2 linked regions of the Notamacropus eugenii genome follow. The protein of the gene in region 2 purifies or fractionates together with the protein of the main gene of each other region. This does not show direct contact. Links are inferred from orthologs where the notes say so. Each region holds a gene or a part of one and is shown on either strand. Other genes may lie near its edges.

Region 1 (7,005 bases), on a different chromosome or scaffold from region 2:
TCGGCTACTTGTGTTTCCTGTGTGTGTCTCTTCATTAACCCTGTTCTTTGTGCTGACTCCATGTGCAGTTATGGGAGAGTGTACTCCAGGTTTATAGAAGAATATTTTATTGTTATTGCTCTTCTGATGCCATCTCAGTGAATGCTTTTGCTTTGAGCTACTGGTTCTCTATCAGATGTAAGTGCACTGGTGGGGGCTCATAAGCAATGGGTTTTAAGAGTAAAGATCCACAGAATACCTTGAGGATAGTTACTCTCTTGGGGACCCAGCCCTCAAGAGTATATGGAAGGGTTACAGAAAAAACTGCTGCTTATTAAACTACTCATTGAGATAAAGGATGATTATATCCAAAAAAGGTAGAATAATGAGTGGGGTAGAGTAGAGAACACAGGACAAAGAATAAAGAAGTCTAAAGTTTGTCACCAACTAACTAACCATTGGGTAAGCTAAACAACTCAATCTTTACAGTCCCTTGTAGCTCTCAAACCCTGTGATTTCCTTTGCTTCACAAAGTCCAAAGATGTACTGGTAAATATTTAACAACTGGCTCTCCCGGGGGGTGGGGGTGGACAGAAATACATGCATGACACTTTCAAATTTAATCAGCATTTTTAACATTTTCTCCATTATTTTCTTAAGATTAGACAATGAAACAATAAATCAAGCCCTGATTTATAGGTATACTGATTTCTGAGGTTTAAAAGTTTATGCTGAAAATTTTACTACCAGCTCTTAAGAACTGATACAAGCTGGCTCAAGTAGATCCCTACAAAATTTCTACTTCAATAACTCATGATGGCATAGTGGTGATCCTAGGTTCTGGAAGGCTATATAAGGGAAATATAAGTTTTGAATAAAAGCCAGGATGCCTGTTATCTGAGAACTAGCCTGGCTAATTTCAGAGATACTTATTATCAGATGTTTAGTTAACAACAAACAAAAAATATTTGGATGCATCAACTCACAAAGATAACCTGTTAAGGTGTGGAAGGGGCTGGCTTCAACCTGTATTTATAGTGTCATTCCCATTACAGACGAAAACACAGATCCTTTGAAGTATTACTATTGAAATCCTTAGGTAGAAATATTGTCTAAGCTACTGTACACTATAGGAAGGAGATGGTAGACCAGGAAGGGAAAGAAAAGTCCCCATTTTCACTAGAAATCTGCCCACTTCGTAACTAACAAAAGATCCTTGTCTGAGATTTTTACTAGGAGACCCAGAATTTATACCTCTCTTCACCGAGTAGGCAACTTCTCCCTATGACTCATATCCATCTGTATATAAATTTATTTTGTATTATTTCAGATAAATCAAATATATACATATATCTACACATATATTTACTTTTAACTAATTAACTGGGGATACAATGACTGTCTATGCAAAGCAGAAACAACTATGGAGCCAAAAAAATACTATTAAAGGGAAAAAAATTTTTTTACCCATATTATCCACATTGACTAATCTACACATTCAGGTAATCAACTTTCCACATTTTCTTTAAAGCAAAGGGTAAAAAGATGAATTAATAAGATTGAAAAGTTAAAAGTCTTTCCATGAACTGAAACTTTCATTCTATCCTGGGATCATGGATGCCAGGGTGGAAGACATCCTAAAGGCCATGGAGCCTAATTTCTTCATCTTTCAGATGGAGAAACTAAGGCCTAGAGAGTTTTAATGATTTGACCACTGTCACACAAGTAAGTAAGTAGCAGAATGGGACTTTGATCTTATGTCCCCCTGGATAGTGCTCTTTTCACTATAACAAGGTGAATTGAGCACTTAGTAGCTGAAAGAAATACATTTAAGAAACGTTGAAAGCCTACGTACTTACAATTATAAGCATATTATAAAATACATAATTATATGTACATATAAAATTATGTAAGCAAATGTACAATTATAAAGTTTAAACATTTTAAACTTGCCAAAGGGAATTTAACTTGTAAGAGTTAGGTAGCACTGGAAACTTTAAAAGGGTAAAGGAATTTGGGAAGAAGAAAGCAAATTAGTATTATCTGTAAACCTTTTTTTCTGTTTTTGTTTTACTTTAGTGAATTGTATCCTTTTATTAATTAAATTATATTATTTGTTTTCAGTGTTCTACAATCACTTCCATATATCTTAGATTTTTTTCCCTCCCTCCTCCTTCTTCCACCCTTCCTCCTCATTCCTTCCCTGAGACGGTGTACAATCTTATATAGGTTCAACACATACATTCCTATTAAATACATTTTCACCTTAAGTCATGTTGCAAGGAAGAATTAAAATGAGTGGAAGAAACCATAAAAGTCTGTGAAACTCCTGCAAATAAGAGTGCACATAATGGAGAAAAAAATGAAAATAATGTTTTGAGGAAATTGTTCCTTCCGATTTAAAATATCACTTACTTATTTTGCCGGGATAGGGCAAGGCAAGAGAGTTTTAAAAAAAGCGTGCCTTCTGCCCACTTAGTTCCCAGAGACATCCCAAGGTTATTCTGACCCATGATAAAGGGATGAGCAGCTCTCCTAGGGAGTAGTTAAAGTTCTTTCAAAAGGCAAGAATGGGAGGCGATTTGGGTATAAATGAAACGGAATTCCGCCTCGCCTCACCTGCCCCCTCTCCGAGCCCCACCGCGCGGACGCGAGAGAGATCTCAGCCTCGGCCAATCCCCCTACTTCCCCAATTGCTTTCTAGCTGCCTGCGCCCGCGGGCCCCAGGTCCCTCACTTACCGAGTCCCCGCCAGCCCAGCGCTCCATCGCAGGAGTCCAGGATAGAGCAGAAGCTGCCCAGGAGCGAAGGAGGCAGATCGAACAGGGGCAGGCTGGCGGGGAAGGCTGCGGGCTCCCAGCGCCTTCTCCTCCCGTCCGCGGGAGCCCAAGCCATCTCTCCCCAGCGCCTGCTCACCGCTGCCTGCTGGTGCTTGGCTGACTAGGGGAAACAAGGGTGGAGAGGCAAGGGTTTCCTCCACCCCTCTCTCTAGGCGTTCTCTTTCACAACTGCGGAAATCCTCCTTGTGGCCATCACTCCCGTCGGAACAGCGAGGTACCTTTGCCAAGGCCAGAAGCTGGACCGACGTCCGCTCCATGACGCAAACTGGAGTTATTGCTCCATCTGAGCAGAGATTCCCAGCTGGAGAAACTCGCCCGACCTCTGAACTTCTGAGGACGGAACCAAACTTCCCTCCCGTCTTTCATTCATCTCCAGCCTGAGTTGGGAATTCTGGAGATTTTGTGTTGTGGTGGGGCGCGGACAGAAAAAGAACTAAAACTGGACCCAAAACATAATTGGAGAGTGGGGTTTAGATTTGATTAGACTTGACCACCAGACAGATGGCATTGGCCATATGCTCTGAATTTATGAAGAATCACAGATCTTAGCAGATCCCAGTGCTGGAAGGGACCACAAGAAATTAACCAGGTCCAGCCCCTACCCTCGCGCAATCACAACCCCCCCACCCCCACCCCCAGGTATAATTACCTCAGTTCTGAGGAGATGGGTTTGAATCCTTTTTTTGGAATGATGTCTGGCAAAAAAATAATTCAGAACTATTCAGCAATGGATTGGGTCCCTCCTGGCTCTAAATCTTATAATCCTCTCATCCTCTTTGCATTATTTAGTAACTTTTCATTATACTTCTCTACTTATTTTGCCCTTCCCTCCCAAAATTTAGTTAATCTAAATTTTCATGTAGATTAGTGATCAAACAAATTGATATGAACATTTTGCAGAAGAAATACAGATGACTGGGGCAGCTAGGTGGTGCAATGGATAGAAGACCGGCCCTGGAGTCAGGAGAATCCCAGTTCAAATGCAGCACTCCAACACTCCACACTTAATGGCTATGTGACCCTGGGCAAGTCATTTAACCCTGATTGCCTCCAAAACAAAAAATGCAGATGAATAACAATCATATAAAAATGCTCCAAATCACCAATACGGAAAATCATTCTGAGGTTTCACCTCAATTCCACTAAAATGTTAAAGATAAATTAGAATGTTAGCAGGGAAAGTAAGAAGACAGATTATTAATACATTGTTGGTGGAGTTGTGAATTGGTCCAACCATTCTAGAAATATTCGAGGAGGCGGAGGAAGTGTGATACCACTAAGGAGTACTTATTCTAAGGATAACAAAGACAGAGAGAAAAATCCTTGATATATTCATAGCAGCCCTTACTGTGGTAGCAAAAACAAAACAAAACAAAAAAACTTGAAACAAAGTGATGCCCATCAATTGGGGAATGGTTAGTTCTACGTACTGTGGTATGTGAATGTAGTGGATTCAAATTCAGTAAGAAATGAAAAACATGAGGAATTAAGAGAAACATAGGAAGACTTGTATGAACTGGTGTAAAGTGAAGAAAGTAGACCCAGAACACTAGACACAATGAGTGCAGTAATGTACATGATAACACTAATAGACAGCTGACCTATGATTAAAGCTTCATTGCTACAGAGCTAGCTTAGAGGTAATTTTGATCTAGCTTACTCATTTTACTGAGGAGGAAACTGAGCCAAGAAAATTGCAGTAATTTGCCCAAGGTTACAAAGATAGTAAATAGCCAAGCTGGGATGTAAATTGAGGTCCTTAGGCTAGAGAGTCAGTATTTTGCCCACTGAACCACATTGTCCTTCAGGTCTAGAGAATATTGTATCTTCTGAACTGATAGATTGGTTTCGTTTGTCAATTGGCTTTTCATTGCTTCAAGGCTCTTAGCACAGTGGTTGGCGCATAGTAGGTCCTTAATAAAGGTTTACTGACTGACTGACAAGGGAGGAATCAAAGGAAAGAAGGGATAAGCAATTATATGTATATTTATGTGTGTATGTACACACACACATACACAGATGTAGATATATACTTATACACACATTTTAAAAATCAAATCTTGTTTGAAAAAATTTGATTTCAACACCAAAAAGGATTACATCAGCACCCACTTTAAAAAAAAACACACACAAACTTTCATTTTTAAAGTACACAGTTCCTTTCCTCTAGAAGTTTAGCTTTGTGGTGGTGTTTGTTAAGAAATTTGAATGTGAGGTGGAGAAATTCTTACCAAAAGAATGTGGCTCAATTTATTTGCCAACAGTTCCTGAGTCAAGGACCTGTTGGCTTCAGGAAATGTTGGTCACTGTTCCTGGGCTCCTATTGCTGACTCTTTCGGGCAGGAGTTCTGGTTTCAGTAATGTTTGAAAAATGCTTACTTTCCTTCTTCTATAGGAGCTCTTTGCCCTTTGGCAGGCTATAAGCATAAATCTTTAAATAAAAAAAACACACTGTTTTCTTCTTCCCATGGATTCGGAAATTGTTTTCCCTACAAAGTGGATAAATCCCCCAAAGAAACCATTACTTCAAGAGGTGAACAAGGTCAGCCAGGCCTTGGAATGTAAGTAGGCCTGTCACATTACATAGCAAAAGCATACTGTAGACAAAACTGTTGACAATTATTTAGTAAATAGTTATACATGTGTAGTAGTTTCTTGATATGTTGGGTTTTTCTTTTGGGGAAGGGATTAGAACCTGGATATCTTTTATTGTTGTTGTTCTGTGCTCTTAAAAACAATCCTGAATCTCTACCCCCTCCCTCTCCCTCTCCCTTCTCTCCCTTTCCCTCTCTCTCTCTCTCTCTCTCTCCCAATCCCTCCCTCCTCCTTCTCTTCTCTCTTTCCCTTCCCTTCTTCTTCCCTGCCTCCTTCCTTTCCTCCCTGATACTGCCCCCCCTTCCCAATTGAAAACTGGTCTCCCTACTTTTTCTCTCACAAGATGCTCCATACCCGATTCTGTGCCTTTTCACTTGCATTTTCCCTATGCCCAGAATTCCCTCTTTCCTTATTTCCTCTTCCTTCTCCAGGCTTCTCTGACTTTCTTTAAAGGTCTCAACTAAAATGACACCTTTGCAAGAAGCTTTTCCCCACCCTTTTCAATGCTAGTGCCTTCTCTTAGAGATTATCTCCAGTTTGTACCTTTCTTCTGTTGACCTGAAAACTTGGTTAAGAAAGGCAACAGGCTAATTGCATACATTTTATGATTTAATTAATTAATTGGTCAATTCCCTATTAAAGAAAACAGTTACATAATGCATTATGGAGCCAGAAATGTTCTGGCTACCCAGTGCAGAAATCTTCTGGCTTATATACATTTTGCCATGAGAAAGGAACTCTCCTAGTTGAACAAATCATAAATTTAGTAAGACAAGACAATTAACAAAGTAATGTCAATCAAATGTTGAGATTCCAAGCTGGGTAAACATATGTCTCGGTGACAAGGAAGGAAATCCCACCACAGATAACTGACACAGGAAGGGGCAAACAATGTTCAATAGAAATTGTGACCTAAGATGTCTATATTTTCTTTACCATTATTCAAGATATGTCATAACATAGTATGTGTCTATAGATAATAAGATACAAAGGAAAGACCCATTATTCAAGATATGTCATAGGTTAAAGGTCTCCAAGGAATGCAGAGTCAGCTTTGGCTGGCTTTTGCTGACATAGGAAGAGGCATTCTCTGAGTTTGCTTCAGAGAGAACAAAGAGATTATTCCAAAATTTTATATTAAACATTATCACTTCTTTGTCCATAGTTGTTTACCTGTTGACTCCATTAGATAATAAATTCTTTGCCTTTTAAAAAAATCACCAGCATTGAGCACATAGTTGGCACTTAATAATGCTTGTTGATTTCACCTTGGGTCTTAAATAGTAGAGAACAACAAAAACCCTGTGAGGAAAAAAAAGTTTTTTTTTCAATTAAGAAAATGATAGAATTGCAAAATCTGATGGAGTTTCCAGTCTTCAGTCTCTTTACTATAAAATCTGAATCACTGACTACCTTTTTCTCCCTGAAATTCTCCTCTGTCTTGACCTCTGGGACAATGCATTATTTTGATTTTTTTTCCTATCTCTCTGGCCACCCATCTTGATTCCTTTCCTGGATCTTTTTCATATAGCCCCCTAACAGTGGGCAAGTTTTCTTCTCCTCGTACTCATTTCCCTAGGAGAATTTCAACT
Region 2 (7,646 bases):
AAGAAGGCTAGGAACTGAGGATTTGCCGATTAAGAGATCACTGGTAACCTTGAAGCAGGTGAGTGAGAAAAAGGGAAGCCAGAATGCAAAGGGTTCAGAAGCAGGTAGGAAATGAAAAGATGGAGGAAAAGTCCATCAGTTAACATGTAGTGGCATCTACAGCCTGCCAGGTATTGTGCTACATGCTGGGGACATGAAGAAAGACCCCCCCAAAAAAAAATCCAGCCTCTACCCTCAAGGAGCACCCAGTCTAATGGGGGAGACAACATATAAGGAGCTACAGTACATCCGAACCAGACAAATACAGGATAAATGGGGGGAGTCTGAAAGGGAAAGCACGCAGATTAAGGAGGACTGGGAAGAACTTCAGCAGAAAGTAGGACTTTAGCTGAGATCTGAAGGAAGTCAAGTGGAGAGGAGAAAGAGAAACTTACAAGGCATGGAAAACAGCTAGGAGGCTGAGTATGGACTGCCTTTTTTAGGAGCCGGCTGGGAGAGAGATAGAATGATAGTTTAAAGGGATAGTAAGATTAAGTAAAAGGTTATTTTTTAATAATAAATTTTTTTTTCGATGAGCAAAACCCTACCTCTCCTTCCCTTCTTCCCCTCCCCAACGAAAAAGAAGGAAAAATAAAATCCTTGTGACAAATTTGCATAGTGAAACAAAACAAATCTCTGTGTTGGCTATGTCCAAAAAAATCTGTCTCACCCTGTCCCCTAAGTCCGTCACCTGTGTGTCTGGAACTGGGTAACATGCTATATCACCTATCCTCTGGAATTGTGTGGTTTGGTCGTACTGACCAGGGTTCTGGAGTCATTCACAGCAGTTTGCCTTTACAATTCAATTGTTACTAAGTGAAGGGTTTGGAGATTTTGGTTTGGGTTTTTTTGTTTGTTTGTTTTTAAGAAAGGGGATCATCTAGGCATATTTCATAGGGAAGGAACCAGTGGATAAGGAGAATTCAAAAATGAAGGCATGACCAAAAGGGCCATCTCTGAGGAGAAGGGGAATGTAATGGAATCCAGGGGATAAGCAGAAAGGGGACAGTGTGTTGAGTGTGGGGATGTGTTCTCCCTTGTTACACACATGCATTACATATAAAAGCACACAGTCTTTTCAAGAGAAAATGAACAGAAACATGTCAGACCCCATGTGGGTGCAGTGAGGTATTTTGCCATAAGGTTAGCCTCTGCTGCCATTAGAAAGGAAAGAGGTACTGAGAGCTGGAAGAGAAAGAAGTAGTTAGAGCCTAAAAGAAACGCATCTTTAACACCTTCTCTTTGCTATTCCTGAGAGTGAGCAAAGCTTTGCAGCTTTGTCAACAAGCACCAGGTAGTATAGTGTAGTGGATGGGGGGGGGGGTAAGAAGGTGTCAAGAAAACCAGGTTTCAAGACCAAATGTGTCACTGGAGGGCAAGTCTCAGCCTCTCAGTGTCCCCAGCAGCCCCCTAACACCAGCAATGGCTGAGCAGGTGCCTGTCACTGCCCTCATCACTGCTCCCAAACTGACTTTCTCACACATGCTCCATCTCCTATTGTAATCCCTGGCTTTCCTCAAGACTGGGTTCAAGTGAGGCCTTCCCCTCTGAGATCACCTGCCATCTGCCCCATATGTACCTCAGTATGTGTGTTTTGTGTGCCCCATTAGAATATACACTTCTGGAAAACGAGGACTGTCCATGGTGTTTCTTCACATCCTCAGCTTATCACAGGGTCTGGCACAGAGTAATCACTTAAATGCTTGCTGATTCATTGATAAGTGTTTTTTATACCAATGACATTGCAAGCCTGCCATCCCAAACGTTTGAGGTTCTGTCCCTAGAACTGGGCATAACATAGCTCAAAGCCCCATATTCTCTGCCCTCCAGGAGCTTTGCCATTCTAATGGAGCTGCGTCTGGAGGAGTTTCTGTTCTGCTACCTCACAGTGCTTGGTGCTTTTAGATTTGCCAAGCATTTTACTGACATCATCTCATTTGAATGGCACAATGATCCTGGGAGGTAAGTGCTATGATTATCCCTTTTTTACAGATTCAGAAACTGAGGCTCAGCAAGGAGGGAGAGTTTGGGGTCTTTGCCTTCACCTCCTCTATTTGCTTTGGTCCTCCTCCTTCTGTAAGGGCCTAGTAGTCAGTCCCTGGGCCCCGCCCCAGCCCCCCCCCCCCTTGTCCTCTTTTCCATTATCTCCTCAGTAATTTCCTGTTCCTCCTACTCCCCTAGCCCTTTTACAATTAATTCAACCACCTTAGGTTTTCCCCCTCCCACCCTACTGTCCTTCCTGCCGGAAAGATCAACTTTGGCCCACTGAGTGAACCTGCTGGGCGATTTAAGGGGTTGGGGCCACTTTAATGGGTCCCACTATTTACTTTTATGGGCCAAGGTGCTAGGTGCCCTTCCTAGTCACCTTTCTTTTACCTAACACACAGGGAATGGTTTCTTGACCTGGGTGCTGCCTGCCCCTACCCTCCCCGACTCTAGCTTGTGCTGTGGTTGTTTGACCTAGTTGTCAGCTGAACCACACTGGTAAGCTGCTTCTCCCCCTTGCTGGAGCAGGCAATGGGTAGCCTCAGCCTGACCCTAATCCTGAGATTGCCAATTCTGACCCCCTTCCCAAACTCATTCTAGTAGGTCCTTTTGGCCCTTCTTCACCTAGCTTTTCCCTCCCTTGTGACTTGCTCTGGATCCAAAAGGGTTGGAGGGGAGAGGAGACCACACCCCAAAATGGTGGGACCCTGTCCCCTAGGAGCTGATGAACAGCACAGACCATGAGGCTTTGAGGCTGAAGTGAAGTGGATATCTTTCTGGAAGAGTCTATAAGAGGAGAGGATGGGGGACAGGGTGGGTAGCTAGGAACCAGGTGAGAATGACTGTTTATGTGGGGACAAAGACTGAATGGCGTAGCCAAAGCAGAGGATACACCCTCTCCATTTACAAATGGGCAAATTAGAGCTGAATTGACCAAGGTCACATGGCTAGTAAGAGCCAGAGCTAGGTCACATCTAGATTTTCTGACTCCAGGTCCAACATTCAGCACAGGTTAAGGATGGAAACGTACATTTGGACCAGATAGTGGAGAGCCTTGAGTTGCCACTGAAGTTAGATGACTTGAATATTTTTATTTTTTTGAAAGTTAGGATTAAATGTTCTCCCTCTCGCCTTACCCCAGCATAAAATGCTTTTGGAATCCAGTAAATTGTTTCCCCTGTTGACCGAAAGATTTCTGAGAGAAATGGAGGGGGGAAAGGAATTCTCTCACTTGTCTCTAACAGCAGCCCCCTCCCTACAACATACCCAACAGGGCCTGGATCCTAGTGGATTAGGGAATGTCACTTGATGGGGGCAGATACCAAGCTCCTCTACCCTCAGGCTAAGCCCTTAGGGCTGATGGGATGGTGAGAGATCCCCTTACAATTCCAGGCCTTCTCTCACCTTAGATTTGGGGTCTCCCAAACTTCCCTATCTCACTTGTTTTACAAATGAAAGAAACAAAGACAGGGGAAATAAAACACCAGGTGGAATTTTTGAACCTGGACCCTTTGACTTTAAAAAGTCTGTGCTCTTTTTACTGAACATCTCAAGGCTTCAGACCCATTCATACAGAGATAACAATGTACATCGTCTCATATTCAATGCATGGTAGTGATTGGCCTCTGCTACCTGTGGCCAGGTCCTGTGTGGTCCCAGCATCCTACATCAGCAGAGTTGGGAGCACATAGTTCCAAAATGTCATAAATATAAAAGGCACAGGAAACAGCTCCAGGTGTTCTTAAATTGGAGTCTATGAGTTAACTAGGTGAGTTTATTTTTTTTTTAATATACTGATGATTGCATTTCAGTATAATCAGGTTCCTTTGTAATTCCTATGGATTTTATTTTATGCAATTTAAGAATAGGATTCTAAGAAGGGGTCTATGTTTAAGAGTCTGTGATCTAACCTAATCCTCTTATTTTTAAAGAATGATGCAAAGCTCCCCCCTCCCACTGCCTCTCCATTGAATAAAAAAAATAAAAAACATCATAAATATGTGTGTTCCAGTAGAAGTAATTCCCACATTGGCCATGCCCCGAAATGCTGCTCTGCGTTTCAAGATCATCACCTCTCTGGCGGGTGGGTGACTGATGCCAACTCTCTCATTTTACAGAAACAGAACTGAGGCCAGAGAGGCAAGGGACTTGCCCAAGACCACACAGCAAGTTAGTCGCAGAGCCAGACCCTAGAGGCCAACTCTGGCTAGTTCACTTTCCACTGGCCCATGCAATCGTGCCCTCCTCCTGGCGGCATTAGATGGCAAGCAGGATTCCCCTAGGCTGACCCGCCTCAGCCATTGGCCGGGATGCCTGAGGCCGGAAGGCGGCTGGAAGACTTCCAACCTTTCCGGGCTCCAAAGGAGGGGGAAGAGAGGGAAGGGGGAGGAGTGGAGGAAGAGAAAAAGGGCAGGCATTTTCCCCAGGCCACGCCCAGCAGACGTCCCCACCGTTCGCCCCGCCCCCCAGCCTCGCCCGACGTGGCGGCCCCAGAGGAAGGCGGGAGCGAGAGGGGGCAGCCTTTTCCTCCTCCTCTCCTCATCCCCGCCCCCGCCAGCATCAGGACGTTTAAAGGGATCCATTTAAAGGGGAAGTGACTCATTTTTCATAGGCTCGCCTGGCCCGGCCTGGTTCTGGAGCCCCGGGGCTCGCTCGCTTGTTGGCCAGCCTTCGCCTTCGTCTTGGCCTTGGCCTTGGCCTCGGCGTCGGCGGGCTAGGAGGCGCCGGCCGCGCGGGAGGATCATGGCCGAGGGGGCGGGCCCGAGGAGATCTGGGGATTCCGTTTCCCAGCGTTTCGTATACGAGGTGCCGGCCTGGATCATGTGTCGCTTCTACCAAGTGATGGATTCCCTGGAGTCGACCGACTGGTACAAGTTCGGTGAGGAGGCGGGGGAAGGGGGCATGGCCAGGGAGTCGCGCTGGGGCCGCGGGCCAGCCCGAAGGAGAGGGGAAGTGGCCCCGGGCGGGAAGCTGGGGCCCCCCTCCCCCAGCCCAGCCCTGGGCACCGGGATAGGAAAGGGCCCGAAGGCTGAGAATGGCCCGTGCGCTCCGGGGAACCCCTTCCATCTGCTTCCGCCCCTGGTCGTCAACCTTGGGGCTGCCGCTCCCCCCCGTTAGCCACCTTCCTTTCTGTCCCAGGCCACCCGTGCCCTCTGTGTGATCGGCGTACCAGGGAGACGAGATAGGGAGAATCATGAGACACCTCAAGAGCGTAGGATAGAGGGTTGACCCCACTGTCTCTCCTGACACTACCCCCACTCCAGATGCAGGCCCTCTTTCCCTCACTCCTGGACTATTGTAATAACTGCTGGGGAGGCAGGGGAGTAGAGGGGCAAGGGGATCTGCCTGCCTCAAGCCTGTCCCCACCTCAGTCCACCATCCATTCAGGCACCAAAGTGATTTTCCTATAAAGTTCAGGTCTTATTATGTCACACACACACACACACATTTCCACCCCCCACTCCCTGAAATAAACTCCAGGGGCTCCCAATTGTCCCCAGCAACAAATACAAAATGAGGAAACTGAGTCTGAGAGGCATTAAGTGACTTGCCTAAGGTCTTACAACTACTAAGTGTGTGAATTCCATCAGGTCTTCCAGACCCCAAGTCCAGCACCCTATCCAATACTCCATCATTTTTCTTAGAGATCATCTAATCTAAGCCTCTCACCTGACAGCGGGGGAAACTGAGACCTAGAGAGGTAACCCAGAAGGGGCCACTTTCCCAGAGGGACAGGTAGGAAAGCAATTCAAGCTCAGGACCTCTAGAGATTGGCTGCCCAGAGGCTACCACTTTCTTGTTGGTAAATTCATGAACCCTAAACTTAATAACTGTAGGTCCTTGCAGAAAAAGGAAAGCTTCCCTTTGCCCTCCCCCATCTATTCCCCCACTCTAAACTAGGACCGTGCAAGAGGGTTTGTATAGTCCAAAAGGACAATATCAGGCTCTTCTCTTGCCCCCACCCCAACACCTTGCCACCAAGAGTGAGGTCAAGAGGAAAAAGGGCCAATATTCAATGTGAGGAGAGTAAAGATAGCCAGAAACTGAGAGGGAGATGGCAAGAAGGCAGAAAAGAACCTACTGGGGAAGCAATCAGGCCAAGGAAGCCACTTTGGCCTATTCTCCCTCCCACCAACCAATTTGTTCCCAGAAGCTTTTCAAATTCTTTCTTGCAGGTGATTTGGGGCTATGGGAACAAATGGGATTGAGAACTGAAAGAGACTAGTGATTATTTAGTCCAGCTCCCTCATTTTTCAATGAGGAAACTGAGGCTCAGAAAAGGTGAAGTGACTTGCCCGTGGTCACACAGTGAAGTTAGTGGCAGAGCCAGTATTAGAACTCCAGTCCTGTGACTCAAAACTCAGGGTTCCTTGTCCATGGGCAGATGCAAGGTGTGAGTGACTTAGGACAGGGCCAGCACTGGCTTCATGCCACAGCAGGGATTGTGGTCAGAGCGAGGGCTGGGGAAGGCCTGGTGGGATGTCACCAAAGCCAACAGCCAAGCCCCAACCTGCTTCTGTCCTTGACAAGATGGCCCAAGGACAGCTTTGACTAGACTGTGTGGAGGTGACCCGTTTTCTTGCTTGTCAGCATCCCTCATTGTTCAGGACCAGACAGAACTACGGCTGGGGGAGCGTTTTCATGATCGAACAGCCAGGATCATGTGGCCTTGGATTAACAAAAACGCACGGGTTGCTGACCTCCTTCATATCCTCACTCACCTACAACTGCTTCGAGCCCGAGACATCATCACCAGTTGTGAGCCTTCCCTTCAAACCCTAATCCCCCAATCTCCCCACATACATATACCCAACCCCACGTCTACTTGTAAGTGTCATCTGTCAGTGCCCAAACAAAACCCCTCCCTTCCTTCAAGTCCCCAGCTATCCCCTAGAGCTCCCCCTGTCCTAGGGGAACTTGAGGAAGAATAGTTGGATTGGGGAGGCTTCAGCAACAAAGAAGGCTGAGTTTCAATTCAAAGAACTAACCCCAGTCCTGGGCCCTAAAGTCCAAGGGACTTTCCCCCTGCCTCCCACACCCCAACCAGGCCCCAGCTGGGCTCCTAGAAATAGCATCCACCCCCCGGAGAGAGGATTTCCCTCACCCCACCCTTGTAAAGGGAGGCAGGTCTGTGTCTTTCCCCTTGGCCCCAAGAAGGTGATGGAGTGCAGGAGGAAAGCATGTTATCTCCCCCACATACCCCATATCATTCCCTGCTATCATTCTTGCTTTTTTAACAGTATCTTTGTGTCTTTTCCTTCCTTCCCTATACTTTTAGGGAATCCTGAACCCCCATCATTGCCCCCTGCTGCCTCATTAATGTGCACACCCACCCCTCCATGGCCCCCTCCTCACCCAAAGCCCACTAGCGTCCATAAGGAAGAGGGAGTCAGACCTCCCAAGGTGCCACAGTCTGCCTCGACCTTCCTTTCCCCAGGTAATGGGGCACTGTATTTGGGGAGGGGGAATCCAGAGTTTCTTGAAGGAAAGGGGTGAAACATTGACCCCCCCTTAATACCTCCTGGGCCAGCTGTCGTGGACAGGTGGGGAGGGGTCTCAAATCATGAGCTTAGGGTGAAGCCTCCTTCTGAAAAAGGAAAGGAGGGGTCCTTTCGGAGCCT

Evidence for each region. Proteins that work in one complex are often made in the same cells at the same time.
Region 1: the proteins of IRAK1 (region 2) and IRAK3 purify together in Homo sapiens (co-immunoprecipitation; 3 studies listed by BioGRID and IntAct, with this or other methods). This does not show direct contact. The link is inferred for Notamacropus eugenii from reciprocal best matches to the Homo sapiens genes IRAK1 and IRAK3.

What each region holds. Positions count from the first base shown.
Region 1 is NC_092874.1:243,146,181-243,153,185, reverse strand, and holds the start of IRAK3 (interleukin-1 receptor-associated kinase 3), read right to left. Parts: upstream 3,019-7,005; 5' UTR 2,874-3,018; coding exon 2,720-2,873; intron 1-2,719. UniProt on the Homo sapiens protein: Putative inactive protein kinase which regulates signaling downstream of immune receptors including IL1R and Toll-like receptors.
Region 2 is NC_092879.1:22,992,625-23,000,270, reverse strand, and holds the start of IRAK1 (interleukin-1 receptor-associated kinase 1), read left to right. Parts: upstream 1-4,623; 5' UTR 4,624-4,767; coding exon 4,768-4,903; intron 4,904-6,615; coding exon 6,616-6,783; intron 6,784-7,303; coding exon 7,304-7,462; intron 7,463-7,646.